5 linked regions of the Danio rerio genome follow. The protein of the gene in region 4 interacts with the protein of the main gene of each other region in a pairwise test. Links are inferred from orthologs where the notes say so. Each region holds a gene or a part of one and is shown on either strand. Other genes may lie near its edges.

Evidence for each region.
Region 1: the proteins of dusp12 (region 4) and rabac1 interact in binary tests that used the Homo sapiens proteins (3 or more experiments, as listed by UniProt). The two-hybrid records come from large-scale screens. The link is inferred for Danio rerio from reciprocal best matches to the Homo sapiens genes DUSP12 and RABAC1.
Region 2: the proteins of dusp12 (region 4) and ppp2r3b interact in binary tests that used the Homo sapiens proteins (3 or more experiments, as listed by UniProt). The two-hybrid records come from large-scale screens. The link is inferred for Danio rerio from reciprocal best matches to the Homo sapiens genes DUSP12 and PPP2R3B.
Region 3: the proteins of dusp12 (region 4) and eif5 interact in binary tests that used the Homo sapiens proteins (3 or more experiments, as listed by UniProt). The two-hybrid records come from large-scale screens. The link is inferred for Danio rerio from reciprocal best matches to the Homo sapiens genes DUSP12 and EIF5.
Region 5: the proteins of dusp12 (region 4) and ccnh interact in binary tests that used the Homo sapiens proteins (3 or more experiments, as listed by UniProt). The two-hybrid records come from large-scale screens. The link is inferred for Danio rerio from reciprocal best matches to the Homo sapiens genes DUSP12 and CCNH.

The regions. Positions count from the first base shown.
Region 1 is NC_133191.1:11,085,475-11,092,178, forward strand, and holds the start of rabac1 (prenylated Rab acceptor protein 1), read right to left. Parts: upstream 4,021-6,704; 5' UTR 3,993-4,020; intron 1,538-3,992; 5' UTR 1,528-1,537; coding exon 1,457-1,527; intron 1,108-1,456; coding exon 895-1,107; intron 1-894. UniProt on the Homo sapiens protein: General Rab protein regulator required for vesicle formation from the Golgi complex. May control vesicle docking and fusion by mediating the action of Rab GTPases to the SNARE complexes.
Region 2 is NC_133184.1:36,197,569-36,204,195, reverse strand, and holds the start of ppp2r3b (serine/threonine-protein phosphatase 2A regulatory subunit B'' subunit beta), read left to right. Parts: upstream 1-2,411; 5' UTR 2,412-2,482; intron 2,483-4,607; 5' UTR 4,608-4,717; coding exon 4,718-5,071; intron 5,072-6,627. UniProt on the Homo sapiens protein: The B regulatory subunit might modulate substrate selectivity and catalytic activity, and might also direct the localization of the catalytic enzyme to a particular subcellular compartment.
Region 3 is NC_133195.1:21,171,364-21,177,291, forward strand, and holds the end of eif5 (eukaryotic translation initiation factor 5), read left to right. Parts: intron 1-64; coding exon 65-186; intron 187-285; coding exon 286-447; intron 448-532; coding exon 533-694; intron 695-2,754; coding exon 2,755-2,919; intron 2,920-4,785; coding exon 4,786-4,926; intron 4,927-5,406; coding exon 5,407-5,505; 3' UTR 5,506-5,778; downstream 5,779-5,928.
Region 4 is NC_133177.1:23,703,777-23,710,277, forward strand, and holds the start of dusp12 (dual specificity protein phosphatase 12), read right to left. Parts: upstream 4,096-6,501; 5' UTR 3,978-4,095; exon of another isoform or gene 3,970-3,977; intron 3,739-3,969; 5' UTR 3,733-3,738; coding exon 3,470-3,732; intron 1,240-3,469; coding exon 1,126-1,239; intron 1,043-1,125; coding exon 924-1,042; intron 438-923; coding exon 350-437; intron 1-349. UniProt on the Homo sapiens protein: Dual specificity phosphatase; can dephosphorylate both phosphotyrosine and phosphoserine or phosphothreonine residues. Can dephosphorylate glucokinase (in vitro).
Region 5 is NC_133180.1:52,027,667-52,034,354, reverse strand, and holds the start of ccnh (cyclin-H), read left to right. Parts: upstream 1-3,036; 5' UTR 3,037-3,258; coding exon 3,259-3,278; intron 3,279-3,411; coding exon 3,412-3,544; intron 3,545-4,778; coding exon 4,779-4,901; intron 4,902-5,046; coding exon 5,047-5,120; intron 5,121-5,199; coding exon 5,200-5,410; intron 5,411-5,566; coding exon 5,567-5,730; intron 5,731-6,688. Other genes in the region: uncharacterized protein LOC100150296, read right to left, coding at 1,378-2,685. UniProt on the Homo sapiens protein: Regulates CDK7, the catalytic subunit of the CDK-activating kinase (CAK) enzymatic complex. CAK activates the cyclin-associated kinases CDK1, CDK2, CDK4 and CDK6 by threonine phosphorylation.

The sequences.
Region 1 (6,704 bases), on a different chromosome or scaffold from region 4:
TCTGAATAAACGAACAAAGACCACTAGTCGCTCAGGACAGGACAATCAACACTAAATGGAGCCACGTCTTTATTAAAAGAAGACGAGCGGCGTCAGGATTTCACCTTTTCCAGATGAGAAATGCTCTCGGGTAAACAATGTTCCTTAAACACGTGCACACGTGATCCACAGTACAGCTGCGCTCTCATAAAGGGAAAATGAAAACGAAACCTTCTCTGCAGCAAATTCTAAAAGCAACAGTGTTGACCTGTATCTCCAAACAATTCATGTTCTCCCGCTTGGCAACACAACGTGTCGTCTCTCTGCCGTCTAAACACTGTAACTGGTAAAAACAGACTTGGAAGCTATCATGCATTTTAAAGAAGTTGCACCGCATACACAATAGAACGCGCTGATTGGTTTGAACCAAGTCTTACTCATGACTGAATGCAACACACTCAGAGACGTAATAAGAAACTCCCAGGTACAGACGTCCAGTCTATAAGCAGGAATACACGCTAAGATCTCATGGCCGTGACGCAGCTTCAAAAATTTGTTTCAAACCGGAAGTACGAATTTGCTCGAAATAATGCAAAAACAACCAATTTTCACTTTTTAGTGAAATATATGTGTCCTAATAGTGTTTTTAGCAGTGTGGGACACGTATACGACTGTCAACAGCTCAAAAAATGCGTTTTGGTGTTTCGTGTCCCCTTAATTATTGTTATACAGCATCATAAAAAATGGTGCTATATTGATGTGCATATCGCACTTCCAGCCGGCCGCATATGCAATCTAGACTTTACCTTTTGAGGTGTCTTTATTATAGCCTATTTTGTCTATATGAACTAGTTTAATGCATTTTATTTGCATACATTTAAATTTCAGGGTGATTTTTACTGAGCAGTTCCTTACATGCAATAGAGGATGAGAGCCATGAAGATGAAGGTGTAGTTGCTGTGATAGGTGTCCAGGTTCCTCACAACACGCTGGCACAGCTCTCCAAAATTACGGGGCTTGGAAAACTTGCGCTGGTCAACAAAGCCGGCCCATGGACGGATGGACTTCCGCCTGCGGTCCACCCAATCCTTAATCACATTTCCAGACAGACCTTTGGGCAGCCAAAGCCTGACATTCAAGAGAGACGACAATAATATTGAGTAATAAAAATAATAGCGTCATAACTTAATAGCGTCATAACTCAATTAAAGGTAACAACATCGCATATGGGCATATTATATATACTTACATACATATAAATATATATATATATATATATATATATATATATATATATATATATATATATATATATAAACAACAACAAAGAAAGTTACAATTAAAATAATTTTTTTAAAGAAATTAATCATTTAGCAGTGTCTTTTATCTAATGTGACTCTCAATAAGAGTTAAACAATAAACAATTTCTGGAGTTTTGGGCTTTTACAGATTGTAGTATTTCTGGTGACAGACTCACCTTCCCACAATTCCTGCTCCTGGAAGCTGCTCTGCCTCGCTGCTAAAGGGGTCACTTACTTTTGCATCCATCTCGACGTGTCTAATAATAAAACACATATCTTAATCAACAAGAATGTATTACTATTTTGATTTAAATATATTCATATGTTGATTTAATTTCCAACAGAGTTGAGAGCCACTGGTACATTTATACTATGTGGGTTGATTGAGATGTAAAGGACATTGTGGTTGTCAAAAGAAGAAAGTGGGATCATTGGGTAAGATGCAATAATAAGTTACTGTTAATATTGCTCAGCTTTTTGCACAGACCTATAGTTTCCCTTTATTAGACCTCAATGTGTTTTCAGGTGTCACAGAAGTTAAATATGTTTTGCCTGTATATTTATGTTTGACTCTATAAGTGCAGGTAACTGTTGACTTGCATTGTATGAATAACAAAGGACCATGGCCTTTCATATAAAACTTCAAAAGGTTAGTTCACCCAAAAATTTAAATTATGTGATTAAGTACCACTATTTGTCCTCTCTTCCGCTTCAGGTAATCAGAGTTCATAATAAACGCATGTCCTGATCTGATACGTTTTTGACACACAAAAGTGTTCTTGGAGCTTCATATGATTATAGTTGACCCACTGAAGTCACATGGAATGTTTTGACAATGTGTTTAGTTCCTTTTCTGGACTATAAATGTGTCTGGACCATAAAAGGATGATGAGGAAACTTAGATTTCATGCAGGAATTAAAAGGACGTGAAGGTGAGTAATTAATAACAGAAGTTTTATTTTTGTGTGAACTAATCCTTTTATCCACTTAAAAAAAACACTCACCAGGCCCGTAGCCAGGGGTTTTCGGAAGACCCACCCACCCACACTGACAAAGGTCCAGAATTTGTCCAATACATGAGCTCATTTGTTCTTTTTTGACTGCTATGCCATCATAAATAGTGAAAATAACCCATCGAAAAAGGCATTAAGACCAAGCGTAATCCTGGTGTGACTTCAGTTAATCAGTTTTGGCCAATACAAACAATTATTTTTCAAGAGTCCAACATCCAGCTGTGCAAGAAAACACCTGACATAAGCAAAGTCATCTTTCACTACTTTATTGTTTTCAAATTGGGAAAAGATTTGACAAGTAACTTTTATTATCAATCACTTTTCTTGAAACAAAAAATAACCAATAAAGTGTAAAGTACTTATACAAGAGGCTAGAAAAACTGTGAAGCTCTTAACTGTTGTTGTTGTTATTATTATTATTATTATGTTTTAGTTTTTTATTATTATTTAAATGGCCACATTCTGACTGAGGAAAGTTGAATGTGCTGGCCAGTCAGTTATTTGCTTAATAAATTACACTAGGCTACAGTTTCTAATTTAAAACGTTGATGCATGATAAATGATGCAATATATTTCTGTTTTAAAAACACATATTTGCCATATTTATTTCTTTATTATAAATATTTAGGAAATGTTTTGGTACATCAAAAAGTGTGGTTATGATGACCATCCAACAAGATAATTGATTCAATAAAGTCAGGTAAAAAGTGCTTAAAATTTCATCTAAATTCAGCATTGAAATCTCATAACTAAACAGAAAATGAGGCGAACAACAGCAAAAAGATCTACCTATTAAGAAAAAACCCTTTCAAAAGGCTGGATTAATGAATAGCAAACTATAGATGAAAGGTTCTTCAAAGTGAAGTATAAGATAAAGGAAAAGTTATATTCGGATATTCAGACATTCTCCTTAACAATATAATTTCAGAAAAGTATTCTTTGCAAATTCCGAATAGGAAAATCATATAAGCACCAAATGATTATCAAAGTACAACATTGTTCACAATCAATTAGATAGAATTAATGTTATTTAGAAGTCATACTTGCAGGCTAATTCCGATCGAATATTCAAAGTAACATGGTAAACAATATAGGGACTTCTAAATGTGCGAATATAAAACCAACTTTACCTCTAACGTTATAAGTACAAGAACATGCACATAACTTTAGTCAAGGGATACTAAGACTTTTACACTTGATAGGAAAACAATGAATTTGATCTCCTTCACAGAAAGCAACTTTCTAAACTTCCTCTGTATGTCTTCACTTAATCTATGAAGCTCGCTTTCTATGTTATGGTAAGTTATGAACGTGTTCAATGACGTTACTGGAAAAATGATGTCACTCATGGGCTGCAACTGAAACTCTGCGTTCAAGAAGAGAAACAATCCGGTAGAGCAAGTTTGTTAAGCTGCTACATTACGTCAGATGTGCCTCAAAAAATAAATTATTACAGTCAGACAATAAACAACGTTTTCTTTTTTTGGTATGTCACAAAACATAATCCATAAAGTTTGTTTATCAAATCCGTTACAGACAGCAGCAAGCGCTCTTTCTCAAAATATATATCGATACCCCTTAACTTTGAGATCAATCGGTAACGTTAGTAACATAGAGAAATCGACAGACAGTGAGACGAAATATTTCTAGAATTGTGCTTTAAAAGGGGAGTAAACCTTAAAGTAACAATCATACTCACAGCACTTTGTGTAGATGTGTTGACTGTGTTGATGTGCAGCGGATATGATGTGGTTCGCAAACAGCGGTGACGATCTTCTTCTGTTGACATAAGTTAACACGAGTCAAACTTGCGACTGCCTCCTAGTGACACGGATCAGCATACAGGGCATGCACCTAAATTTTTTTTAAATGGATACAATGTCCTTTACATGTTATAACTATTATTTTGCATTAAGATAAAATATAGAAAATGAGGTTTAATGATATAAGAAAAAAACAGCAAAACTAAAAAAATATGAAAATAATTTTTAAAAATTCAAGTACAAAAGATGCATTCTAGAACTTTTGGGCCCCTTGGCTGGAATTGTTTATGGCCCCAAAATCACTAAATCAGCCCTTGATAATATATAATATATTTTAATATTCAAGAACAGACATACCTAGTAATGAACATTGTATAGTTGACATTCATTTGCAGCATTATAAATATGTGATGTCAATAAATACTTTTTTTCTAGCTAAATGCTATTAATTTCAGGAATTGGATTTCTGTTCTTTTCCAGTACACACTGCCAAAAACCTTGTGGCCTATCCAAGTTTTAGGAACAACAAATAACTTGACTTAGTTGATGATTTGGTATCAGTGGCTGAAAGGCAAAGGCCTCTAGTGTACGCTTCTTTTACCAAAATAAAATATGATTATGCCTTGATTTTTTATTATTTAATGAGGATAGTAAGGCCTGACTTTGCTAAAACAAAAGACTTAACAGAAATAATGTACAGTATAGAATATAAAGTCATGGTGCAATGGAAAAATAATTAATATTGTGTATGACTCCCATGAGCTTGGAGGGCTGCATCCACACATCTCTGCAATGACTCAAATCACTTATTAATAAAGTCATCTGGAATGGCAAAAACAGTGTTCCTGCAGGACTCCCAGAGTTCATCAAGATTCTTTGAATTCATCTTCAATGCCTTCGCCTCCATCTTACCCCAGACATGCTCAATAACTTTTATGTCTGGTGATTGGGCTGGCCAATACTGGAGCACTTTGACCTTTGCTTGCAGGAACTTTGATGTGGAGGCTGAAGTATGAGAAGGAGCGTGATCCGGCTGAAGAATTTGCCCTCTCCTGTGATATGTAATGAAAAGGGCAGCAAATGTCTTGATATCTCAGGCTGTTGATGTTGAATAAATGTAAACACAAATCATATTTTTTCCTTCACCAAACTTGACTGATTTCTGTGAGAATCTTGGGTCCATGAGGGTTCCAATAGGTCAGCAGTATGTGTGATGCAGTTCAACATGATTAATCAAAAAATTTACCTTCTGCCACTTTTCCAAATGATCAACTAGAAGTCAAGTTACTATTTGTTGCTCTTACAGCAGGGATCGACGACAATACTTTTGTCAGGTAGTGTAGGCACAGTGTGATTGCTAATAGCAAAAAAAAAAGTTATTTTAGATATAGGAAATTAATTATTGTTATCAATATTAGAAATTCCTAAATGCATCAAGCTGAGATACATTCACACATATCAGCAAATACCATTTCAGTGATATCTGAATTCTTGATATTCAGTGGGCCTATACTGGAATAAAGATTATCATTAGTGACCATGTATTTATTGGAAAAAAAAAGGTTTTACCAGCAACTGTTACTGATATTTAAAATGGAATTTAAATAGTGAGAAATTAAGTATTGATTTAAAAATGGCAGCCTATGGTCAAAACTAGTGAAGAACTGGTAATTAACTTTATTTCTCAGAGGAGTAACATCATTACTGTTATGCCTCTGTCAGTTTAAAACTAGAATAAATACACATCTCTATGCATTAGCAAACACATAAAACACAAATGCTTTTGAAATCCAAATCCTCCAAAGGATTGTTAGTCTGCATTACTTAGGGCAGCTGAAGCTGGGAACACTTCCCAAAATAAATTACAATTTGAACATCAATTATGTTAGTCTGTTTCTATTATTCCAGAGATTTCCATAATCCTGGACCAGGCCGTATCCTGAGCAGCTGCTGTGGAGGTCATGGAGGAGTGGATAGCATGAGACTGATTCCTGTAAGACCCCAGTGACAGATGAGTCTTCCTCAATGATCCTGAAGAGTCAGTCTGCACACCAGCTGGTGACCTCTCCCACCTGCAGCTTCTCCACGATGGACGTCCAGCGCTCTCCAGCGTCAGACGCTTAGATTGCAGTTCTGCGCAAGAAGTTTGGCCAGAGGAGAAAAGGTCGTGTCCAACAGAGCCTGGTTTCTCTTAAGGGTTTTTTCTTTCACTTTCGGCAATTGGTAAAGTTTGTTCCTTGCCACTGTCGCCCTTGGTTTGCATGGTTCGGTACTTTAGCTGCACATCAATGGACCGACACAGTTTCAATTTACTATAATCTTCTATGTTGAGCTGCTTTGACTCAAATCTACATTGTAAAAACGCTATAGAAATAAAGATGAACTGAATTGAGATTAATTGGATCACTCATCCTGTGATCACCTGTGGAAGCATTAAGTTTATTATCTGTTTGTATATATATTTCAACTTAGATATTAATGTTATGTACATAGATATCTATAGAGCACTGTATGCACGTAGTTTCACTCTGTTTCAACATATTAATTGTGGCATGGAATAAAGCAGCATTATCTGCTTTAGAGTTTATCTGTCTGTTTAACTTTAGGAAGAGAGACACCAGAGTAAGGGCAGAATAGCTAATATAGTA
Region 2 (6,627 bases), on a different chromosome or scaffold from region 4:
AGCATGCAACCCTCGATGGAGCTGCCAAATATCATGTGATTTCTTGTGTCCCACAGTTATCTCCAAATTTCAGTTTTTAAGTGCAATAAGTAAATTATTGAAGTGGTTCTTTTTTCCTTATTACATATTGTGTTTCTCATGTGTCACACTAATGATCAATCTACAAGTTATTTAATGCAATAGCACACCCTTGAGTTTGAAATGTCTGAGTTTTAAATTGCAAGAGTTCCTGTGGGCACAAAAGTAACACGTATTTTTGTCCTGCTGCTAATAGACATGCCTTATTTTTCACTTCCACATTAGTTTTCAGTTTTTTTATTCATATGTTTTATAAGATTATTGCATGTAGCCAATAATAATAAAAAAGAGCATTTTGCATTGTTGAATTGCTTCTGAAACATTTTCTAAAAGTGACATTTAAAATGAAAATGCCGTTTATTTTTTTTGTGTAATATGTTTGCAATTAACATTAACAACGTTATCGTCAGATTTATTTCAAATAAACAAGATTGAGCCAGTAAATCTAGCAAATATTGTTGTTTTACTTTTGACCCACCCGTGTGTTACTTTCGTCCCAGTCTATGGGCTCAAAAGTAACAATGTGTTAAACAAAGTAACTTTTGTTCAAAGCAGGGGTTTCTAAACTTTTTCTTACGAAATCCTAAAAACCAAACTTGATTGAGGCTAGTGGGCCAAAGGTGAATATAGTTGCAATGGGTAATTTCCTAGTTTATTTAATAATATTTTTAAAAAGATTAGAAAACATTGCTTTATATAAACTAATACAGTATTTTTTTTTTTCATTATTAAGGAACTTATTATGGTTTCACCCTGCCCCCCCGCCACCCACCCACCCCCCCATGCGGTACAGGTGAATTGCGTAGACTAAAGTGTCTATAGTGTATGAGTGTGAATGGGTGTGTGGATGTTTCCCAGAGATGGGTTGTGGCTGGAAGGGCATTCACTGAGTAAAAAATGAGCTTGATAAGTTGGTGGTTCATTCCGCTGTGGCGACCCCGAATTAATAAAGGGACTAAGTCGAAAAGAAAATGAATGAATGAATGAATGAACTTATTACAGTAAAAACAAAACTATCAAATTTATAACAGACTTACACTGGTTTTTGCCTTGATTTGTTCCCTGATGTCTTCTGCATAGACCTTTATTCGACTAACAGTATTTACATAAAAAAATTTTAAAAATCTGATTCATTTACAAAATTTAATTGAAACATTTAATTTCAGTTAGCTTTTTTTATCTCAGCAATAAAACAAAAAAGGTTAAGTCAAATTAGAAACTACAATCTCTGTTAAAGGCATTAGCCCCAATCCTCTCCATCATAATCACTCTCCTCCCAGACGGGATGCTGGGCCCAATCAAAGGTTACAGTGGGACAATTTAGGCCCGCGGGCCTTACTTTGGGCATCTCTATTATATATTGATACAAAATAACACCAGATTTTGAAACACTATTGTGAGTTAGTAACCACAGCAAAATAGTTTTGCTAAAAACATTATAAAATGTTATAAAATTCTTTTAAAATTTAGGTTTTTATGAAAAATGTTTCTTTTGTCCCCGCTTTCACCAACTGTATAACTGAATAAATAAATTAACTTGAAGTAGTTTCAGAGGATGGGTGAGATTATTATTATTATTATTCATTCATTAACTCATTTTTTTCGATTTATTCCCTTTATTAATCTGGGGTTGCTATAGCTGAGTAATTCACTAACGTATCCAGCATGTTTTTCCCGCAGTGGATGCCCTTCTAGCTGCAACCCATCAGCGCATGTATTTCGATTTGTGGGTGAAACCGGAGCACCCTAAGGAAACCCACACAAGCACAGGGTGAACATGCAAACTACATACAGAAATGTCAACTGACCCAGCTGATGCTTAAACCAACGACCTTCTTGCTGTGAGGTGATTGTGCTACCCACTGCACCACCATGACGCCCCTATTCTTATTATTATTTCAGTAAAATAGAAAGAAATTAGTAAATTCATCAGTAAATTAGAATTGTTCTAAGCAAACTCATGCTTTGTCATTTATGTTATGTTTGTTGTCATATAGGCTATGTTGAACTCCTGTGCTTTGTTTTTTATCGTTTAAATTCAGCTCAGTGGCAAAAATATATATATATATTAATTAATACTGCTGAGTAATTTTTTTCTATAACTACTAGTAGAATATTTTACACCTTTAAACAAAAACCTGTTTATGCAATGTTTCGTTCGGAGTCAAAACGTTCACTTCAGACAATGAATCGGATAATTCGACTCTGTAATCAAGTGAAATGCAATTCCTTTTGCGAATCGATTCTTTAAAAGAACCGCTTTTAATGAACGAGTCTTTCGCGTGTGTTCGCCACTCTCGCGATATAAACTTTTCCCGGTTACCTGAGGAGACGAGAGTTTGGTTCAAAGTGTACCCCTATTGGAATGAACAAAAACAAACAAAAATCTTCTTTATAACTGCAGGTAGAGTAATGCAAACCAGTTACCGTTTACTTTGTCGTGTTTACCGGCTGACTGTACGTTTCTTTATCTATGTTACGAAATGCTGGCGGTGTTTATGTAATAGTTTGTCCGTTAGCAGTGAGAGTATATGCTCCGTGTTAGTCTGCTAGCAACAGCAACAAACCAGTTTATTTCTCTCGTGTTTCAGCTAACTTGGGGTTCTGCCTAAACGCTTAACGTGTGTGAAATTGTGAGTTAAATAAGGTGAACTTGAATTGGGATAATTTGGTGTGTTCTCCACTTTCGCCATCCGCGGTGGGATGTTTATAAACCGTAACGTTAGTTTACAATAGCATAGTTGGTTCAGATACTAGTACTTTAAGTGACTTATAATAGAATTCAATAAAAGCACATCTTGCTTTCACGGAGTTTAAAGGTTGTTGTTTGTGACATTTGAAGCCAACGGCAAGTTAAACACTTTAAGTTACTGGTATAAAGTTGGTTTCAGATTCTCACATTCGTTCAGTCATTATTTGTGAGACGACATATCTTGTTTTCCATACTTTGAATATTCAGTCTTAAATCGCATGCAAGTATGACTTGAAAACAACATTAGCACTGTCTGACTGTGAGCAATGATGTACTTTTTTATTATTGCAATAGCAGGCAACTACAACAGGTAGAAATGCAAACAGTTAGATGTATAACAAACAATACAAACTGCAACAGGAGAAATGCGACACTTTTAAAGAAATATAATAAAGGTAAAGCAAAAGAAAGACAATGAGGAAGAAAAAGAAACAAAAACTAAATAAATAAATGAGGGCACATGAAAAAAATAATACAAATTAATGTAGTATATTAAATAAAACACATGTTTTATAAGTTTTAATTGTTTTCTTGTTATGAGACTGCGATATCAATGTTGTTCTTTAATTGTCATTGGCTGCTTATATGCAAATAATACTTTTCTGAGATTATATCATTAAGAAGAAAGTCTGAATGTGCAAATATAAAGCCAATTTTACCCTAGTTAAAACCCTTTAAGTAACGTTACTATCATTAAACATGATCGTAACGTTTTGGCAGGGAATTAATTAACATTGCATTGCTATTTTGTTAGGACACAGTGATATATGTTGCTTAGTTGTGTGAGATCATAATCAAACAGCTGTCTATATTTTTACCCATTTTACACACATGGAAAATAAATTGTATAAAGATTTTTTTATTGTTGTTGTACTGTATATTCATTTGTTAAATGTATTCAGTTTCATTCATTCATTTTCTTTTTGGCTTAGCCCCTTTATTAATCAGGGCTCACCACAGTGGAATGAACCACCAATTTATCCAGCATATGTTTTACGCAGCGGATGCCTGTCTAGCTGCAACTTATGACTGAGAATCACACACATGCACTACGGACAATTTTAGCTTACCCAATTCACCATTTAGTGTCTTTGGACTTGTGGGGAAAACCAGAGCACCCGGAGGAAACACACACCAACACAGGGAGAACATGCAAACTCCACATTGAAATGCCAACTGACCCAGCCGGGGCTCAAACCAGCGACCTTCGTGCTGTGAGGCGTTTGTGCTATTCACTGCGCCACTGTGACACCCAAATGTATTCAGTTTGTTTAAATTGTTTTCCTTAACATTTTTTGTTTACATTTTATTTTTGCCCGTCAAACACATACCATTTTCTTTAGATTTGGTTGCATTGAGTATTTGTTCAGTTTGTTACAAATATAAACTACTACACAAATTGATATGCATGAACAAAGCATTTGTCGTTTACATGTTTTTTATGCACTTTAAATAGGTTGTGAATTTTGCAACATGGTTTACTAGGGTAAAATTGGTTTTATATTCGCACATTGAAACTTCCTACTGAATGATATGATCTCAGAAACGTCTTCTTTTCTATTCTCAATAGGGAAATCATATTAGCAGCCAATGAACTATCAAAATACAGCATTGTTCACAGTCAATGTTGTTTTGAAGTCATACTTGCATGCAATGTCAGAGCAAATATTCAAAGTAACATAGTGATAATTGTATTGTCTCACAAGTTATGGCTGAATGAATATGAGGATTTTTAACCGGTACATAGTTTTATAGTGCTTTCTGCTTTCTTTTTCAGGTATTTTTCATCTTTATTTATTTATTTGACTTTTATTTATTTTTTTATTTAATTTTTTTTTTTTTTTTTTTTTTTTGGAGAAAATCTTGTCTGCATGAAGAAAACCAGAAATGGCATCACCACAAACACTTCAACCTGTCCTGAAAATGAAGGTCGACGAGCTCTTCCTCTTTTGGTTGAGTGAGCCGAGTACTCAGGCGATGCTAAAAGACTACCTCAACAAAATCAAGAGTGGAGAAGAAATAGATCTAAGCCATGGTGAATTCAAGGGCACAAGCACTTTGATGTTCACTGAAAACAACAATAACAATATAGCATCAAAGATTAATGCAACGGAGAGGATGAGTGCGGCCCTTGGTGCCCCGTGCAGTCCTCCTTCGGCCACGCTGCCATCTGCGACTGGCAGCAATAACAGGGCAGGAGTGAATGCGAGGGCCCTGCGACGCTCTGTCAGCACTAAAAAGGTAAAGCCTTTATGCTCCACATTCGCTTCACAATACAGCATGACCCTGGTTTTGTCACTTTGCAGACTGCTGTGTCAGTCTAAAGAAATGTGCGTTCTACTTTATTCATATGTGGCGATGGCTCTATCCATCAGTTATACTCCATCAGTTCTTCGTATACATAGAAACATTACTCAATTTCCTATGTTAGCATTTCATGTTGTGAAGCATACATTGTCAAGCATGTATTCATGTAGAAACTGTTTTAGTATAGCTTACATACTTGTTTGGTTTTATATCAATGGTTTGGAAGTTTTTATTTATTATTTTAATTTTAGATAATGTTAGTAATTTTGTGATACTGTCATCTTTATTAGTTTTTAGAATTTCAAAAGCAGATCTTCCTTGCTTGACAGTGTTTTTTAGATTATTAATTTTATATTAATAGTAATTATTATCATAAAAGTAACAACTATTATAGACCATGTGGTCATGTCATTGGCCCATAAACATTTCCCGCTTGTTATCAAATGATTTCATAACTGTAACTAGAGGCAATTCAATTATAACTTAATGTTAAATTATGAAAAATATTCATATCCATATGAAAAAGGGCAAATAAGTTATAATATATGTAAATGAAATTATTATTTTAACTAATATAAAATCATATTACTATTTAACAGATAAATTTAACAAACATTATACAAATTGAATAAGCAAATGTTACAATACTGTTTAGTTTTTAGTGTATTAACTACAGAAAAATTGTATTATTATTGAAGCTGTAAATAATGTTAAGTCAAGATTAATGATTCCTCTGTTTAATTGGGTTAATTAACGTTAATGACAGATGGAAGCAGGTTAGTGCAATTAAAACCTAATGCACAGATCTGACATATTGTAACTGTATTTAGTAGTTATGCCTTTTAGATTTTCAGTGTTAATATTGGAGATAAATGTATATTAATATACATGCATAATGTAGTTAAATGTACTTTAAAAGTGCTTTTCTTTACAGTCAATTAATAATATATGATATGTTTAAAATATCTATTATTTAGCATCAATGCAGATTCAGCAGCATTATGTATCATTAAGAAAATGCCTATTTTCTACACCTCTAGTCTGTATAGTTTTTAGAATTTAGTTGGATTTTAGTACATGAAGTTAATGTTAATAAAAAGATGCTAGCTGAACTTAAAGTATATGTATTTTAATGTTGTTTTTATTTTAATGTGAAGTTCATTTGCAAAAACGGCAAAGTATTTCTATTCAAATTTATTAAAGTTTACATAAACAGTGTAAACTTAAATAAACAAGCGTGAACCCTTCATTTCTCCGTTTTAAAAATTTTATTCATTTTCATAATTTTTGGAGTTATGTTTTGCAGATGAACTCTTAACTTTCTTAGCAAGAAAGCGACGAATGTTTATAATTAACTGTAAAAATATTAGCTCATTCTGGTGAAATAGTTGGAACTTTTGTCATCTGTGATGTTCCCACACTCTATTTTATTAACAGCCACTTTACCACAGAGTAGGGCTGAACAATACATCTTTTGAGAATTGATATCG
Region 3 (5,928 bases), on a different chromosome or scaffold from region 4:
TGTTGTGTTCATGAGCTACACTCCATTGCTCTTTTGTTAACTTCCTCCCATCCTCCTGGGGCAGAGAATGAGAGTGGATCTGTAAAAAAAGAGAAGGAAAAGAAGAACCGAAAGAAGGACAAAGAAAATGGCTCAAATGGTGGAGAGGCTGGGAACCATAATGACATTGATGCTCCTGATGCTGTTGTGAGTTTTTTTGGTTTAATTTCTTGTAAAAAAAATAAATAAAAAATCTTCCAGCCTAATTAGTGTGGAAACTGATGTTACATGTGATTACCATGGCAGGATAGGGATGATGACGATGAAGACTGGGCTGAGGAAACCACCGAAGAGGCTCAGCGCCGCAGGATGGAGGAGATCAGCGAGCACGCCAAGGGTCTCACACTTACTGAAGACCTGGAGAAATCCCTGGAGGAAAGGGTCAACATATTTTACAACTTTGTCAAGGTAATGCTGGCGTTTAGGGGGCAATTGTGTTTCTGTGTTTGTTTGTTTTTCACTCTGCTATAATCGTTTTGCTTCTGCTCTTCAGGAAAAGAAGGACAGTGGCACGATTGACTCTGCAGATAAAGACATTTTGGCTGAGGCTGAAAGGCTTGATGTGAAGGCCATGGGTCCTTTGATACTGAGTGAGCTGCTCTTTGATGAGAACATCCGCGACCAGATTAAGAAGTACAAGCGTCATTTCCTCAGGGTACGACCTTGCGTCTGTTAGCATTTGTTTTGTTTTTAAATTGTAGATCACTGTTTTTTTTATTTTTTTATTTTTTTTTTTTTTTAGCCGTCTGCCATTTTGAAATCTCTTCATGCTTCACAATATTTGAAAGGCTAAAACTGTCAGTTTAATTTTATTTATAAAATCTGAATAATTTTCTAATTTAATAAGTTTCTCAGTTTTTAATCAATGAAATTATAAGACTTTATAGTTTTCTGTTGATTTCTAACATTGCCATGAAATGGAAGGTGTTAGCTCACCCTGAAGTTAAAGTAATTGTCCTTTTAGAGAATTATGTTCTTTTAATGAAGGTTTGGTCTCGCTTTATATTAGGTGGCCTTCACTATGTACCTGCTTTAAAAAAATAAATACAATGTACTTTATGTAATAATGAATTGCAGAACACTTATAGTGCTCTTGAATTGGTGGTGTGGGTTAAGGTGTAAGTGATGGTCAAACGTGTAATTGCAGAAATTAACTGGATGTAATAACATACAAGTATTTTAATCATAAGTACGATGTAAAACATGTTTGTTTGTTTTTTACAATAAGTACATTGTAACATGAATTTTAGTGTAAGTACATTATACAGTAGTAGTTAAGGCCACATAATATAAAGAGGGACTGAAAGTTTATTCACCCAAAACTAAGACATGAAAACATTTGTGAAGAGATGAGGAGGAAAAAAGATCCGTATGAGTTGAGTGGTTTAAGCCTTCAAAAATGATGCGATCACTTTACATCAAGAGTTCTCAAACTTTTCACTTCTTTCTCCGATCAATTTTTGAAGGCCCACCTGTCTGACATTTTCTCTAAAATGTTTGTATGAAATGCTCATTTAAACGTAAATATTTATCATTTTATATATTAAAAAAACATTGATTCAAAGAGAACCAGTTTAATGGGGAGACTGCAAAATACCAGCTTCTGCTTTAAACTGGACTGACTGAATATCTACTATTACATTTCTACTATTAAAAACTGCTCTAAATACACTAACTCACTAAAACACCCTAAATCTGTTGGAATGTGTTGATCTGATGTTGAGTTTGCAGCTGGATATTATTGGGAGATCGCTGACAGGAACCAGAGTGTGGCCAGAGTGCGCCCAAAGCTCACATGCAGGCTTATTTTACATTCTATGGCAGAAACCCCATTGAGCCTCGCTAAATCCTCCTGTATGGGTGGGAGTCCATTATAAAACACTCACACGACATTCATTTGGATAACTATGTTGATATATCAAATAGTTCACACAAAAATTCACAAAGAGAGATTTTCACTTCTCGCATAGTTTGTGACTGAACAGACTTATAGCCCCGGTCAGATCACTTGATTTTTATTGTCGGTTACGAAAGTCGCTACTGTATATCAGATTATGATAATTTTTCTCGATAAAATATTGAACTTGTTGTATTAAGTGTGCCAGACTACACGTTCCTTTACGATCTATCATCCTGTGACATCTATGATGAGCAATATTCCCAAAGCAGTCTTATTTCATTTTGTGTACCAGTTGCAGACATGATCGTGAGGCTGTTTTTTTGCGCTGAGTTTGAAGTAATTAATCAGAGAATGGGGAAAGTGTGTTGATTTTTTTTTTTTTGATCATTTTAATATAGAATATTAATAATGAAATCCAAAAATTACAGCATAATATTGAGAGATAAATTTAATCTTGCGGCCCACCTGTAGGATCGCTGAGGCCCACTATTGGGCTGTGGCCCACCAGTTGAGAATCCCTGCTTTGCATGAACTGAGGCATACGCTATAAGGGCAAAACCCTCCTTTGAAAAGTGGGTGGGGAACAACATCTCATTTACCTTGCGTCACACAAAAACTGCTTTTTTCCCCCACCCAAAAGTCTTTAGAACATGGAAATGATGATCTTTACATTCTGTGGACACCTGAGAGTTATAATGAATGTAGCATTGAAGAAAAGCCATGACCACTTAAAAATTTCCCCCTTGTTGTTTTTTTACAAACACTACTGTTGATGCACTATAGTAAACTTAGAAACTTTCCCTTTCTGCTTCCAGTTCTGCCACAACAATAAGAAAGCTCAGAAGTATCTGCTTGGAGGCTTTGAGTGTCTGGTGAAGCTGCACCAGACCCAGCTCTTACCCAGAGTCCCCATCATACTCAAAGATCTGTATGATGGAGACCTGGTGGAGGAAGATGTCATACTCGCATGGGCTGAAAAGGTAAAATCCTGACACACAATCTAGACCTGACCTTCTTCTAGTATCTGTCATAAAACAATCATACAGGCTGGAGTTGAGGGGGGCACCGAATAAATGAGTTCACATGCATGAAAACAAATCTGATCTGAGACTGATCCCTGTGGAAAGTGCGTAGCTGTAGATATAGGCATGATGAGCCTTGTTGCTAGGCAACTCTTGAAGGCTCTTTTGTCATTTTAGCCTGAGCATCTTGAGGGGGTTGTAATGTGATGTCTGTGACCTGCAGGCTGCTGGAGAGCTCAGGCTCTGATAACAGCAGGCATACTTGACTGAACTAGCCCTCCAACACTTGTTGAGCTTGACCACATTCAGGCTGTCAAATGCATATGGTCAGCTTGCTGTTGTAGTGTTACATGCTCATGTGGCTGAATGTATTTAAATGGCCTCTATAGACCTGATACTCTCTGCCTATAGACTCATTTTTGGGTTTCCCGGTAGCAGACGGCGTCATAGCTGGAAAAACTTATGGTGCGGTGAATTGGAGAGTACAACTAATACATTTTTACAACCCTATTTGCTGAAATAATAAAAAAAAAATTCCACGAGGGTTACACAGACTTAAAGAAAAAGGGGGAAAATATCAAATTTACTCAGCCCCATTGACACTACATTAGAAATGCATCGCATAAGTGGTAATTTGTTTTTGTAATTTGATGCAAATATGATGTAATACATGAATATAAATGTACAAACTTAAAAAAAAAAAATAAAGTATTAAACTTTCAAAGATTTATGATTGACCATTAAACGCGTCATAACAGTCTTGTAAAAAGGGTCCATTGATCTTTTATTTATTTTTATTATTTAACTGGTCAAACCATAAATGTTTTCTTGTCCTGATTTTTAACACCATCACAGCATTTAGTGAAGAAATCAGCGTAAATGAAAGCTTATCTTTGTATTGTTTTTCATTGTCTCTTTAAAATGTTCATAAACTCCAAAAAACGGTACTTAAAGAGATTAATAAATATTTTGGAGCTTCATATATAGCAAGATAATAATAACAACATAATCTCTGAATATCACTAAAGTAAGACCAGGAAAGTTCAATTTTTGCTTCCTGCAAAGGTTTGCTTATAATAGAAAGCTACAGCTTTTTTTATTATGTCTTATATATTTATATATATATATGTTAATAACTTATTTATTTTCAAAGTATAATACTGTAACTTGCATTATGTAAGAGTTTAAAATACCATTTTCGGAGGACAAAATAAGTATAAATATTGAAAAAAAAACTGCAGGGTAAAGAACATTGTGAGAGTGGTCTTGCATGGTTAGACAATATACACACGCATACATCAGCACTGATTAATCTTGGAGTCCAAAAGTTCTTTCCAGTTGTCCATAAAATAGCCCCTTTCTGTTTTTTTTTTTTTTTTTTCCATCTTCCATATTTCTACAACAATTGTTACATTTTTAATAATAATAAAATAGTCTTGATAAAGTGCACTAAAGAGAAACAAAAAAATGTAAAGACAAATGCTTACTTTAATCTAAAATATCATCTAAACAGTTACACATTTAAGCTTTTCTTTCACAAAGCTAAGTTGGTTTTTGACCGTTTTTTTTTTTTTTTTTTTAATTTTTTTTTTTTTTTAAATGTAGCAGTTTTTGATCTTTTATATATTTTTTTAAAACTTCTTTCTTTGTTGTTATTAGTTTTGAATGATCAAGAAAAAGCTGGAAGATGCACCACTCCAAAAAACTAACTCTTGATTAATCTGTGCACCAAAGAGACTGATCTTAATGCTCTCTGTGTTTGGCAATGTGAGATCACATCTTGATGCCAGCTGTAAACAGAGCCTAAGCCTGTTTCTGTTTTAGGTGTCCAAGAAGTATGTCTCCAAAGAGCTGGCTAAAGAGATTCATGCCAAGGCTGAGCCCTTCATCAAATGGCTGAAAGAGGCAGAGGAGGAGAGTGAGGGCAGTGAGGAAGAGGAAGATCAGGACGAGGACAACGTTGAGGTAAAAGCCGCAGTATACATTCATTTAATGCGTCTTAAAATTTTCAGCTTTTTGATTTCAAAAGTAGCTCACACTATTATTAATATTTTTTTAATGCTTTTGTTAATCAATAATTAAAGGTGAAAGAACCTAAAACCTTCTTTTGACATTTCTCTGAGGTGGACTGTTGTCGTCACACTGATCAAGTCAAGTTCAATGCTATTGATTACTATTGGTTTTTGGTTTGCTGCTTATTGTAAGAAGTCACAAAGCATGAAAATTTCATTAGACCATTAATCACATGGACATTAATCAGCTGCCAGTGAACACATCAGACAAGACCACAAATTTTAGACCAAGATTATAGGAATCTGTTAGAATTTCCAAAATTTGAAACTGACCAAATTGTGGCCATAATCAGAATAAGGTAAATGACCAGTTTACTGTGATGGCCATGTTAATTAACACACACTGAATTGACTCTTGTGTGTTTTCCTGTAGGTGGTTTACTCCTCATCTGCCCGCGAGCTGAAAATGGAGACCACAAAACCCGCTAAAGCAGAGCACGAGGAGGAGGACATTGACATTGATGCCATTTAAAGATGAAACCAAAAAGCTTCCGTTGCCTCTTGACAATGCTGAGCTTGTGTTTTCCAGACGCATGCCTTTTCACCTCCGTGGGCCTTGTTTCAGCTGTAGGCCTGGGTTCCGCTCTGCTCAAAGCCTCTTCTTTTAGTCTTCTCACCACCAGCTCCGTTGATCAATCGTTGCTGTTGTTTGTATGCATGAGTTTCTTAGATTGTAGATCATAAAGTGCACATGAGTTTCCCCCCTGTATTTTTGCAACTATTAAAGATTTGCCTGTGAATTCCATCTGGTGTCTGTCTTGTGGTTTCACACAATGCTAATGAGGATGAGATGAAGAGTTGTCCTCTTTTTGTGTTCAGTAGCAAAAGTGATTTTATTAACTACAAAGAAAACTAGAATGCAAGGTAAGTATTTCCTTTAATTTTTTACAGATGA
Region 4 (6,501 bases):
ACATTTTGATGGTAAAATATCAAAATTTTAACATGTTAAATTGCATGTGTGTTTCAAAACAGCTCTATTTAAACAAATATTACTTAGACATTACAAACAGGTTAGGTCAAATGATAATAATGCAGCACATACAGTTGAAGACAAAATGATCAGCCCTTTTCGAAATATACATTATTTTTTATATATTTCTCAAGTCTTGCTTTAAATAGGAGACTTTTTTTAAACATAACAACATTTTTAAACATAATAGTTTTAATAACTAATTTCTAATATCCAATTTCTTTGGCCTCAAGTACGAAGACTTGAATTCATACAATAAAAAAATGATCTTAAAATAAAAATCTTTTACCTGCACTTTCTACATCTGTATACAGCTTCTGCATTCTGGGTTTGTGCAGGGTCAACAGCAAATACATCTTTTGGCACATTCTGGAGCTCTGATGTAATCAAAATACATTTCATTTGTGTAATAATCATGTCACAATTTTGTCAGTTACTTACTATAAATGCGCAGCCACTTTGGAAATACTCAGATGTAAACAACAGCATGGATTGCATGGTAATCTACAACTAATTATGGTATTCTGCTTATTAATGCTGTCTTAACCATTGTGGAAACTGCTAAATCAAGGACTTAGAAGGTGTAATATTTTGGCTCCGTGATTTTAATAGGCTATAATATACTTTATTTGTAATAACTATTGCCAGACTTTAGTACTGATTCATAATTGCCAAAACATGACAATAATTGATCTATTTTCAGCATTCAACATGCTAGCTTCATTCAGTTCAGTGCCATTGTTTACATTTTGTTCTCCAAAATGGTTCACTGATGACATATCATTAAAACACTTTACAGCATAAGAAAGTATAATGAAGTCACATACTGTTTATCAAAGAAGTTTCAATAAGAATGAACATACCTGGATATTTCTCTGTAATCTTTTTCAGCCTAAACTGTTTGTAAACAGGACTTGTGGTGTCCACTTTACAGTCCATCAATTCATAAAGTGCCAGCTGATCCAGAAACTCTTCATTCATTCTGGGAAAAAGTTAGGAATGATCCTAAGTAACACCTCTTTTCATAAATGTTTAGTTACAGACACAACAATGAAGTACACTCACTTGACATCTGGTTTTATGTTTTGCAGTTTAGAATATGCTTCCTGTAAGGTCAGGTGCTGTGTTTTCATCAGGTAAGCAGTCACCACTGCAGCACTTCTGCTTTGCCCCACATGGCTACAAAAAAGAGAGAGAAAAAGGAATTTAGTCTTTAAGTCTTTATATGTTTTAATATATTTTATAAAGATTTGACAACATTTTTGTAAATTTCCAATAAAAAAATACAACCATTTAGAGCATACTGTACTTATTTAATTTTACTGTATGTATTCCGAAAATGAAAACTGGTCAGAACGACAAATGTTTCCACTTATAGTGATTCAAACTTAGAGATATTTCACTAAATATTGATTCATGAACTCCTCTGAAATTGGAACTTTTGAAAAAAAATGGTATAATTGTTGAATAATTATTTTAATTATTATTAATAGTTTGTTTGGTTGTTGTTTTTTTTACACAACAGTTCACAGAATACAAAAAAATATGATTTAATTATAATTGATGTAAGTTAATGATTAAACAAGAATAAATATCTACCAAAAGGTATCAGAAAAATTGCTGCAATAAAATAGCGATACAAGAGTATTGATACAATAAAAACAGAAAACTAGCTTTCATATCTCCCTTACGGTTGCTCTAGTTAAAAGCATAATGTTGTTTAATTTTGGTTGGTTCTCTAAAAAACAGTACTTCTGTTTATGCCTAATCAAATGTATCACAAAATTGCTCAAAATGACACTTTTATTTTAAACTTATAAAAGTAAAACAAATTAGAGAACTTCAAGTTTCAAGTAGATTCTCATTTTTTCCACAACTGTATATGGGACCTTCTACCAGAAACTTACATTATCTGTCCCTGAAATAAATAAATAAAAACATAAATACAGTGAAAAAAAAGTATTTTGTCCCAAAAATTTCTAAAATGGACTGATGGTTGACTTCTGTGAGTTGTTCTGTAAAGGAATATGTCATTGATTTGTTCTCAGATTTTTTTTTCTTTATTAAAAAACTTTACGAATGTACAATGTACAAATGTACAAACCCTGTCATTGTCTTTGTCCTCAGCCCAATCAAACCTACAGCTTTAATAGTTGTGTTATTTAGAAAAACAAATCTCTTGAGTAACAACATGAAATGATAAATAAATTCTACAAATAAATACTACAAATAGATTTAAAATTTTCCCCATGCTTCAGTCAGTCCTGTCACATTTGCAGTTCATTTAACATAAAATTCAATACACATTTAAGGCTATGACTCAAAGCAAGTGACATCATTTGGTGGAGGAGAAGCTGACGGTGATCAAGGATGCTTTCTATCATTGATAGAAATGATTTAATGCTTGTACACTCACATTTTTTGAGGAAGACAAGCTTAAAGGTAAGGCCCTGTCACATTTTTTATAAGTTAAAATCTATGCTTCTAGTAGAATGTCCGATTTATCACCCTGTATACTCCATCTTGTATGTTTCTGTGAGGAGTAGGTTTAAACTTGGGGTAGACGTTAATAAAAAAAATAAAAATAATAAAAAAAAACTTTATGAGTAATTTAATAAATAACAAAAATAATTCCTGTTAGCCGGAGGTGTAATCCTTCTAGCAACAACCAAAAACCAGTTTCACAAGAATATTTTAGCAATAGCCAAAATAAAAGATTTTTCTTATAAGCCATAAATCATTGGAATATTAAGTAAAGATCATGTTCCTTGAATATATCCTGTAAATTTCCTATTGTAAATACATCAAAACTGAGTTTTTTATAAGTAAGCTAAGAAGTTAATTTGAACTTTAAGCCCAATTTTTTCAATTTTTTAATTTTTTAAACTTGAAATTCCAGATTTTTAAATAGTTGTATCTTCACCAAATATCATCTCATTTAACAAACCTTAAATCACTTGAAACTTATTTATTCAGTGTATAAATGTATAAATCCCACTTGTAAAACAATTGACACTTATGAAGTAATTTGAGGTCTAGGTAAAATTAGTTTTTATTCCCACATTTGTTCATATTTGGACAGTGATAACTTGTGACATGGTCCCTATATTGTTTACCACGCTACTTTGAATATTCGGTCTGAAATCATATGCAAGTATGATTCGAAAGCAAAATTAGCACTTTTTACTTGACTGTAAACATTGTTGTACTTTGATATTTGATGTCTGATAATATGATTTCCCTATTTAATATTTGCAAAGAATACTTAAATGAAAGAGAAAGTCTGAATGTGTGAACATAAACTTTACCTCAATGTCTAGGATCACGTATTATTGAATTACCTTTTAAGTATGTGTATGCCGTTACGTTTTTTATTCAACAAACTTAGCAAACAAACTATGAAACCTACCAATGCACAAGAACTGCTGCTGATTTGGAGTCAGCTTGTGTGCTAAGGGCTTCAGAAATAAAGCTGGTACAGTCATCTAGTCTGCTCAGCAGGTCTGTGGACTCATCATCCAGAGCTCGGATGAATTTGGTGTTGAATCCAGTGACAGAAGCTTCCTCTGAGTCTACAGTCAGAATGTGTGTTATACCTGCAGCTGACAGACTCTCAGCATCCTTCAGATCAGACACTGACCCGATGTAGAGTCCAGACGCCACGGGTATCATGGTTAACTAAGCAAACACAAAACGTATTCAATATCAACGCAATGAAACAAATACAATCCATTCACTGAAGCAACTGAAACGAAACACACATGGTGCAGTTCATTACACTGACCAGTTAGACATAACAAAGTATATATAATACACTCATGAGAACTTCTTAGTAAGAGATAACAGATATTGCATTTCCAAGACCATTAAGTTTTCATAAAAGTTTAACAACAAATGTAAATGCATAACTTCAACACCAATCTGCCTGCAGCTTTTCTAATGATGACTTTACTGTAAACATTGACGCTTTTACACTCACGTGCTTACTCTGCTGTCAAAAAAGGTGTCCACGAAAATAAAAAGTCCGTAGGAAACAATGTGTACTTGTTAGTTCCGCAAAGGATGTTGTTGCATTATTGCTTTAAAGTGCCTCTAGAGGGCGATCTTCGGAAATAAATACAGGACATTGATTGGGGTAAACGTAAATCTAAAAGAGTATATTGTAAATGCTCTCTAAATAAATATTCTATAGCACCGATATAACAGAGTGGACTGGAGTAAACAAATTAAATGGTCTTACATATCAAAAACACCAATGGTTGCATAAGATTTTTGCAAAGTAGCCTACTCTATATTACATTAAATTGTGTTTTCTATCAAAGACATTATGTAAATGTTCATTCATTCATTCATTTTATTTTGGCTTAGTCTCTTTATTAATCTGGGGTCACCACAGCGGAATGAACCGCCAACTTATCCAGCATATGTCTTACGCAGTGGACTAGTGGGGGAAACCTGAGCACCCAGAGGAAACCAATGCGAACACAGGGTAGAACATGCAAACTATATATATAAATAAACTAGTGTGTAAAAGTATGAAAGGTGTCATGTGTGTATATGTATAGAGTGTTTTTGTGTGTATATGTATGGAGTGTTTTGTGTGTGCATATGTATAGAGTGTTTCATGTGTCTATATATTTGGAGTGTACCATGTGTGTATATGTATAGAGTGTCAAGTATGATTATGTATAGAGTGTATCATTTGTGTATATTTATAGAGTGACAAGTGTGAATATGTATAGAGAGTATATATGGAGTGTACATGTATAGAGTGTATTGTGTGCATATGTATGGAGTGCATCATGTGTGCATTTGTATAGAGTGTTGCATGTGTGTATAGGTTTGGAAGGTGTCCTGTATCTTATTTTGTATCATGTGTGTTAATGTATGGAAGTTGTCATGTGTATTTGTATGGAGTGTTTCATGTGTACATATGGTTTTGGTGTTTCATGTGTATATGTGCAAGGTGTGTGTATGTATAGAGTTTATAAGCAGATACTGTATCGTTCAACTTCCAATAGCTTAGTGTATAAGCTGTATCATGTATGTATATGTATACAGAGTCAAGTGTGAATATGTATAGAATGTATTATGTTCTCTCTAGCTCAGTGGTAATGTCAATCATTTCTCACGCCAGAAATCCGGGTTCTATCCCATACCCCGACAGGAGTGTATTATGCGTTTATATATATATTTATGAAGTGTATTGTGTGTGTATACAGTATGTATAGAGTGTGAATATGTATAAAGTGAATTGTGTGTATATGTATAGAGTGTTGATGGTGTACCATGTGTTTATAAAATGTATTATGTGTGCATAAGTTTAGAGTGTATCATGTATGGAGTGCATTTTATGTATAGATTGTCAAGTGTGCATATATGTGTAAAAGTATGGAAGGTGTCATGTGTGTATATGTATAGAGTGTTTCATGTGTATATGAGCATGGAGTGTTTTGTGTGTGCATATGTATAGAGTGTTTCATGTGTGTATGTGTATAAAGTGTATCATGTGTGTATATGTATAGAGTGACAAGTGTGAATATGTTTGTGTTTGTGTGTGTGTGTGTGTGTGTGTGTGTGTGTGTGTGTGTGTGTGTGTGTATGTATATATATATATATATATATATATATATATATAAATATATTAGGGATGTAACGGTATTGTAAATACCGTCATACCACAATATTAAATTTTTTCGATATTACCGAAGTCGCATGACTCGGTAAAACTATAGGTCTTCTGAGAAAATTTGCTCAGGCGAATGAAGCGAACGGGAGGTAGCTGAAACTTCATTTCCCATCAGCCCCGGCGTGGCCATAATCCTTTGCGGTCTGTTGTCGCTACAGATCCAGTAATGCGGAAATGGAGTGTGCTGCTAGTAGCGGAGATGAAAAAAAGATGGAAATGATCGAACCTAAAGCGGGTGTTGTCGCCGCGCGCGTGCTGAATAGCGGTGCTGTCGCGCGCGTTCTGATCAGCTGTGTTGTGGCGCGCGTATTGTAAAGCGCCGAGGGGGGGGTTGAGCGCGCATACTCAAGAGAGGTGTTGTCAGTAGCACAGTGGTAATGTCAATCACCTCTCACACCAGAGACCAGGGTTCAATCCCAGACCCTGACAGGATTGTATCATATGTGTGTGAATATGTGTAAAGTGTAATGTATGTATTTGTATAGAATGTCAACTGTCAATATGTATGAAATGTCAAGTGTGTATATGTATAGAGTGCACCTTGTGTGTTTATGTATAAGCTGTATCTTTGTATGCTTATCATGTATGATAATGTGTATATGTATGGAGTGTATTAATTGTATTTGTATGGAGTGTTTCAAATGTGTATATGTATAGATTGCATATGTATCATGTATCATGTGTGCATATGGTTGTAGTGAATCATGTGTGTATATGTATAGAGTGTATTGTGTGAATATGTATAGAGTGTC
Region 5 (6,688 bases), on a different chromosome or scaffold from region 4:
CGTTTCTGTCGTGCATATTCAGGCGTCAATGTCAGCCGTTCATCACGGACAGTCAACACTTCTATCTCTCCACACCATCAATTTACAAAATCATTGCTATCTGTCGAAATAGCATAGGAAATATTGACAGAAGATCAACTGAGGTGCATTGAATTTCTGTAACCCATTCTAAACAGACTGAAATAAGAAGACATCAGATAATAACGAAAGTCATCTGCCACAATGTGTTCACAGTTCATGGATAAAAGCACTGACGCCTTGCTCATCTCCACCTGCAGCAAATACCAATGCAGACAAAATGTCAAACTGTAAAATTCCTTGGGCAACCTAAAGCCTGCTTTTCCAGCAGTGCTGACACCAGAAATCAGCTGCTGCATGACAAACAGATCATGCAAATGACCTCTGATGGATTCAGAAGAGTGGGAATCTTACAGTCCATACATGGGAAATGAGATTTTAGACCAGCTGATAATGATAAAACACTGACCGAGGTTTTGAGAAGCTGCTATTTGTTGTGGCACCATCTTTAGTAGGCTACAGACAATGCACTCATGATCCATCAGTTTTTTCAACTTCCCAGCTGCCTATAAGGCAGAGCTTGGATCTCATCAATAATGCAACGAAACATCATGTTTATGCAGTTCACACAATGACAGAACACTAGTACCAGACTGTAGCCACACACTGAAAACAAGCCTCAAAAGCATTGGACAAAATGACAGTTATTTAGCTTAAGACATATACATCGTACCTAACCAGCAGCAGCAGATTAGAGAGTGTAGAAATAGGCAGTAAATACTCACCTTTTGATTCTGTTTTCTGCAGGCTCTTATCGCTTCATGGTAGCACAGCACACAGGAAAAATAACTGTAGTGCCATGGTGATATGCAAATTAATGGATCACGCTGAATACAAGGGCATTTATTATTCATAAATTACTCATGTTTATGCAAATTAGGTTACACAGCCCTACTCAAATAGGAGCTTGGTAATTTATGCTGCCTTGCTTCATATGCCTTGGCTTCTTGTTTAAAAAAGCTAATATTTGTTATAAAATATTGCGTGCGTGTGCAAGTGTGTAGTAAAAAACAGTCATAAACGTCTTATTTTTTTAAGAACAGCTTTTATTTTTTTTGTGTAAAAATAAAATCATTGAAGGAGATTCAAATGTTAACAAATTGAGGACCTTAATATTCTACTGTGAAGCTGGATGCAAAATAGAATAAATGATTGGACTGTTTGCAACATAAGAGGGACGTGTTTAAATATAACAAACACTTGGCGCCCCCGTGTGGTCTCCTCAGAGAAAGAGGTTATGATGATGCTAAAACAAAGACTACATATGAAAGTACATTGTACACTTCAGTACATATGGCTTTAGGCTTGCAAGCTGTTGTTTTTTCCTAGGGTCACAGATCTCCTCAAAACATTGTCAACCTCTTTTTCAAAGCGATGAAGCAGTTTAAAGTCACAGAATCCCCTGTAGAGTAAACCGGTTGCCAGTGTTTTCATGGCCTCCTTCATCTGCCACAGTGAGGGTACAGTGACGCTGTGTGCATTTCCATTGAGCTCAGCTGTGACGACTGTGGGTTCGAGTTTGGGAATGTCCAGATCTGATAAAACATCACTTTCACTGTACGATTGGTCGGTTGTACTTGACTCATCAGTTTGCATGCGATAGGATGCACTTTCTTCCTTAGTTTGGTCATTTGGTGGATTTTCTGGACATGGGTTGGGGTTGGTCACACGTTGTACGACTCTTCCCCTAGCTTTAAAGCACTTCAGCCAGTCCTCATTTGACTGGAAGTTAATGAAACCCATCATCCGAGCCAACCGAGATGCTTCAGAACAAATCACTGAGTCATTTACTGTAACGTTGTTCTCACGGCAATGGTCGATCCATCTCCAAAGCGCATCTTCAAGCTGTTGCATGTTTGCATTTGTGAAATTCGTCCTTGGCTCCAGTTTTCCCATACTCTTTTTATCCTGATTATTTTTGCCAATCTTGAACATTGATCGAATGTGTCCCTCTCTGTTTAGAAATCGAGTAAACCACTCTGCATTTGCCCTGAAGTTACCATAACCCACAATCTTGGCCAACTGAGCAGCTTTTGAACGAATAGTCGATTCATTCAAGTCAACGCCGCTCTGCTGAGTATGATCTATCCACCGCCAGAGTGCCGCTTCGAGTCGATGAGTCTTTCTGGCTCCAAGGTTTTTTTGAGACTCTGTCACTTTATCTGCAGATTTTGGATCTCCAGCGGCATTCCCCTCTTTCTGATCTACCTGGAACATCTCTCGTATCACTGGCTCCCGTGATTTAAAGCGTTTCAACCAGGCGGAGTTCGCCCGAAAATTAGAGAGACCCATTTCTTCAGCCACTCGAATCGCTTTTCCACGAATCATTGGCTCGTTTACTGTAATACCGTCGGCAAACGAAGCATCTATCCACCTCCACAGTGCTGCTTCCAATTGATGTGTCTTGCAGGATAGATAGACAGCTCCAGAAAGGTCCGACTTGGCGTTTTTCATGTTTCTTTTCCGGAGCCAGATGCTAAGCAGAGGAGCTGAGACGTTTAGCAAACGCGCAGCAGCGTTTAGGGGCATTTGAGGAAGTCGATCATATTTCTCGAGTATATGTTTTCTTTCCTGCAATGATCTACGGATATATTTCCTCGTGGCCATGTTTATGTGCGGTGAGAAGAAGTGATGGGGATTCGATTTCGAAGTCCAAAGTGGATCTCTTTATTGAACCGGTTCTTACAGAATGATTCGATTCGAGCAGTAACATCTCAAAAATAATAAACAAATATATAAATAACGCGACTGTGCTGTAGTTTCATCAACAACAATTTGTTAAAAACAAAAATATGTGTTTATAAATGTCTTTCATGCTTGGTTTTAGCACATGTGATAAGTTTATTGCTTAGTGTTCATTTAAAACGGTTCATTAAAACAAACTGTCCGAAAGAACCGATTAGAAAAAGTGAATCAGACTCGTTAGAGATGAACACAATCGACATCATCCAAAGGCGCAAGTGGCGTGTATCGCATGCGACGCTTTCTTGCGTGTTTAGATAACGTACGTTTATAATCGTGAAACTTTTGAGTGCGATACGCAGCTTTTCGTCTTGTATAATAGTTGATGTTTGTACGACTAGACTTGATTTAAGAAACATCATCGTGTGCATTAGGGGTGAGGTTATTGTTTTAACGTTAGTCAAACTTTGAAACAGAGTAACTTACGCTTTTAATAAGATGCGAATGCATTTGCCTCGGTAATACTGTTCATTAATTGAAATGCTAATAATTAACGTAGCTTGATTAGCGTTACAACTAATAATTGGGCTACGCAGCTGCATTATGTTAAACGCACATCTGACGTTAATCATATTTTCCTTGTTCTGTCAGCGGACGTGGGTTAAACATGTATCACAACAGCTCACAGAAGAAATTCTGGACATATGATAAAGAGGAAACTTTGGATAAATTAAGACTTGAAGCTAATCAGAAGTTCTGCTCAAAAGCTCTGTCCAGTGGAAAGGTAATTCACACGAATGCAGATCTATATTTCTCTAGTTATAACCATGTGTTATTATAAAAAAAGTATTATATTATTTGTATTTCATATTATTTGTGTAATCACAGATTTACTACAAATACCCTGAGTAATCTTTGATTATGCATAATGATTGTATTATTTTCTTGTTGTGATAATTGCTAAGGCTTTTATCTCATTGTACCATATTATGACAATAATACAAGTTGCAAAAAAAGTTTACTTAACAAAAAGGACCCTACACTGTTGAGTTTTGCTTTTTTTGTACATACATTTTTTTGATTAAACATATATTTCAACCTAAGTAAATTGCAAAATGTTGAAAAAAGTAAAATAGTTTACATTACAAGTAAATGTCAGTAAAAGTAGCATCAACAGTGAAAATAGCTACATTTGTAATAGGTGATGTTAGTTTAATTAATAAAAATATAGGACTGAACTTTATGACTTATAAGCTCTTTTAAAGGGATCGGTCACCCAAAAAGTTCAATTTCTTTTTTCTGTAGAACATAAAAACAAAATATTCTAAAGAATGTTGGAAATTGGCATGAGACGATAACCAGTTTCGAGGTTTACAATGGTTTAGAAAAGTCAAGGTTTTAAAACTGCTAGAATTTTCTGTTATACTGTCCTATATATGCTATATGTAAGGGTTGTTTTATAAATGTGTTTAAAGAAATTTGTGTTTTTGAAACTAAGACAGCAGAAGTCAATGAATTATTTTATTTATTTAGCCTGAAATGTTTACTGCTCTATAATATTTTAAATGTTTCCTAAAATAAAATATAGTGTTCTGTTCGATGGTGACCCAGACATTTGAAAAGAATTTACTTTTAAGCAGTAATCACAAAACCATGATACAGTGAAATTTTGATATTTTTATTCAAGGTCATCATACCATCAGAAACTTACACCAGCCCATGCCTAGTTGCAAATGAGCTGTCATCGGCAACCACTGTAGAAACCAAAAACTACAGAAGTCATTGGCTGCTGCCACTTTCCAGCATACTTTGTTTCAGTTTCTTTCATCTATTAAACACAAAAATTTCAGAGTTTGAACAAATAGGCGAGTAAACAATGGCAGATTTTTTTTTATAGTAGTAGTAAACTATCTTTTTTAAGTCTATAAAATAATAAAACATTTTAAAACTTTTGAATTTAATGCTTTATTAAAATTATCTAAGATTAAATAACCAAATCAACACGTTATCTTTTTTAGCCTGGAATAAATGAATCCACACTTCTCAATGAGCAGGAAGAGAAAGTGCTTTTCAAACACTATGAGAAGAGATTGCTAGACTTTTGTGCTGTGTTTAAGCCTGTGATGCCTAAATCTGTTGTGGTAAGTAATATCAGTGTTGCCAGTTAAGCATATTTAATATATCATATATAATAAATATGATTTATATATTTAATAAATAAACAATGATTTATTTATTATGCTCTTCTGGCCTTTTGTGTCTTATTTTATTTGTTTATTTGTTCAGGGCACAGCTTGCATGTATTTTCGAAGATTCTATTTGAACAACTCATTAATGGAGTATCATCCTCGGACAATAATGTAAGCATAGTGATTGATTGGAATAAGTTAGAAGATTATAAAGTATTTCAGATTCTGACTTCCATGTCTGTTTTTGCAGGTTGACATGTGCATATCTGTCCTGTAAAGTGGATGAGTTTAATGTGTCCAGCACTCAGTTTGTGGGGAATCTTCAGGAGAGCCCAGCGGGACAGGAGAGAGCTGTAGATCAGATTCTGGAGTATGAACTGCTCCTTATCCAGCAGCTGAATTTTCATCTGGTCGTTCACAATCCGTATCGACCTTTGGAGGGTTTTCTGATTGATCTGAAGGTGAGCCTAATGCCTAGTTGCAAACAGTCCTATCTCTAATGCACAGCATTGGCTGAGATAATGTTATTATGGCGAATATACTGTAGCTGGTGTGCATTACATTTGCCACATTACCAATAGTCGGTTAACTGAGTGCATGGCGTCTGCATTTTTCAGACCAGGTACCCATTGTTAGAGAACCCAGAGATGCTTAGAAAAAGTGCTGAAGACTTTCTCAACCGAGCAACAATGACAGATGCCGGACTGCTCTTCTCTCCATCTCAGATTGCTCTCACTGCTGTCCTCAATAGCGCTGCACGTGCTGGCCTCAAGATGGATGTGTACGTTTTTATTTATTTATTTTTTTCGTATTTGCAGATTATAAAAATATTGTGAATATTGCTGCAAAAGAGACGCTCCACCTTGTATTCTCTGATGGTAAACTTGACACTTATGTTTTTCACATTAGATAAGTGAAAAAAAAATTCTAATCTAGATGCAGTTGAAGGTTTCCCCCCCCAAACTATTTCCAAAGTGATTTTCACCAGAGCAAAGCCATTTTCACAGTATTTTTATTATATACCATTTTTAGAGAGTTTTATTTATTTTAGTTAAAGTAGAATAAAAGTAGTTTTAATTTTTAAGGTCAACATTATTAGACCCCTTAGTTTTGATTGGCTAAAGAACAAACCTGTGTTGTACGATGACTTTCATCAAGGTGTCTGCAGCGTCTTATAAAGTATTAAAAATTGATAAACCATTTAAGAGAAATTTAAGGTCCTAAAAAAGTATTAAAACATTTTAAAAGCTATTTTACATTGTCTTAAAATTTAGATTATACAATGTAGTTGTATGATAATTTTGCCTTTAATCTGCCAACTCTGGGGTGCTGTGTGGTTTATGAAATCGATAAAATCCTGCTAGATTTAACATCACATTGATTTGTTTACTGTAGTAACTAAGGCAACGCCGTTATTCCTGCTGTTCTATTGTAAAGTTGCTTTAAGGCAAGTCACTTTAAAAAGCCTCTCGGGCAGTATGCTCAGGCATTTTTTTTGAAAATTCTCCAAAATTGCTTGTCATGCTTACGATTAAATTTCGTATTAAGAATCACCAATAAAATTGAACAATTAAACAACAACAACTACAGAAAATCTACAGAAACTCTCTTCTGGTCCAAGCCATCATGCAATCATCAGTCTTCATCATCAGATTGATCAGTCTAATAGCGATCTGATTGACTCCTGTACTAGAAAGTGGGGCTTTATTCATTATATTGACGTTACACTTTTTTCCCCA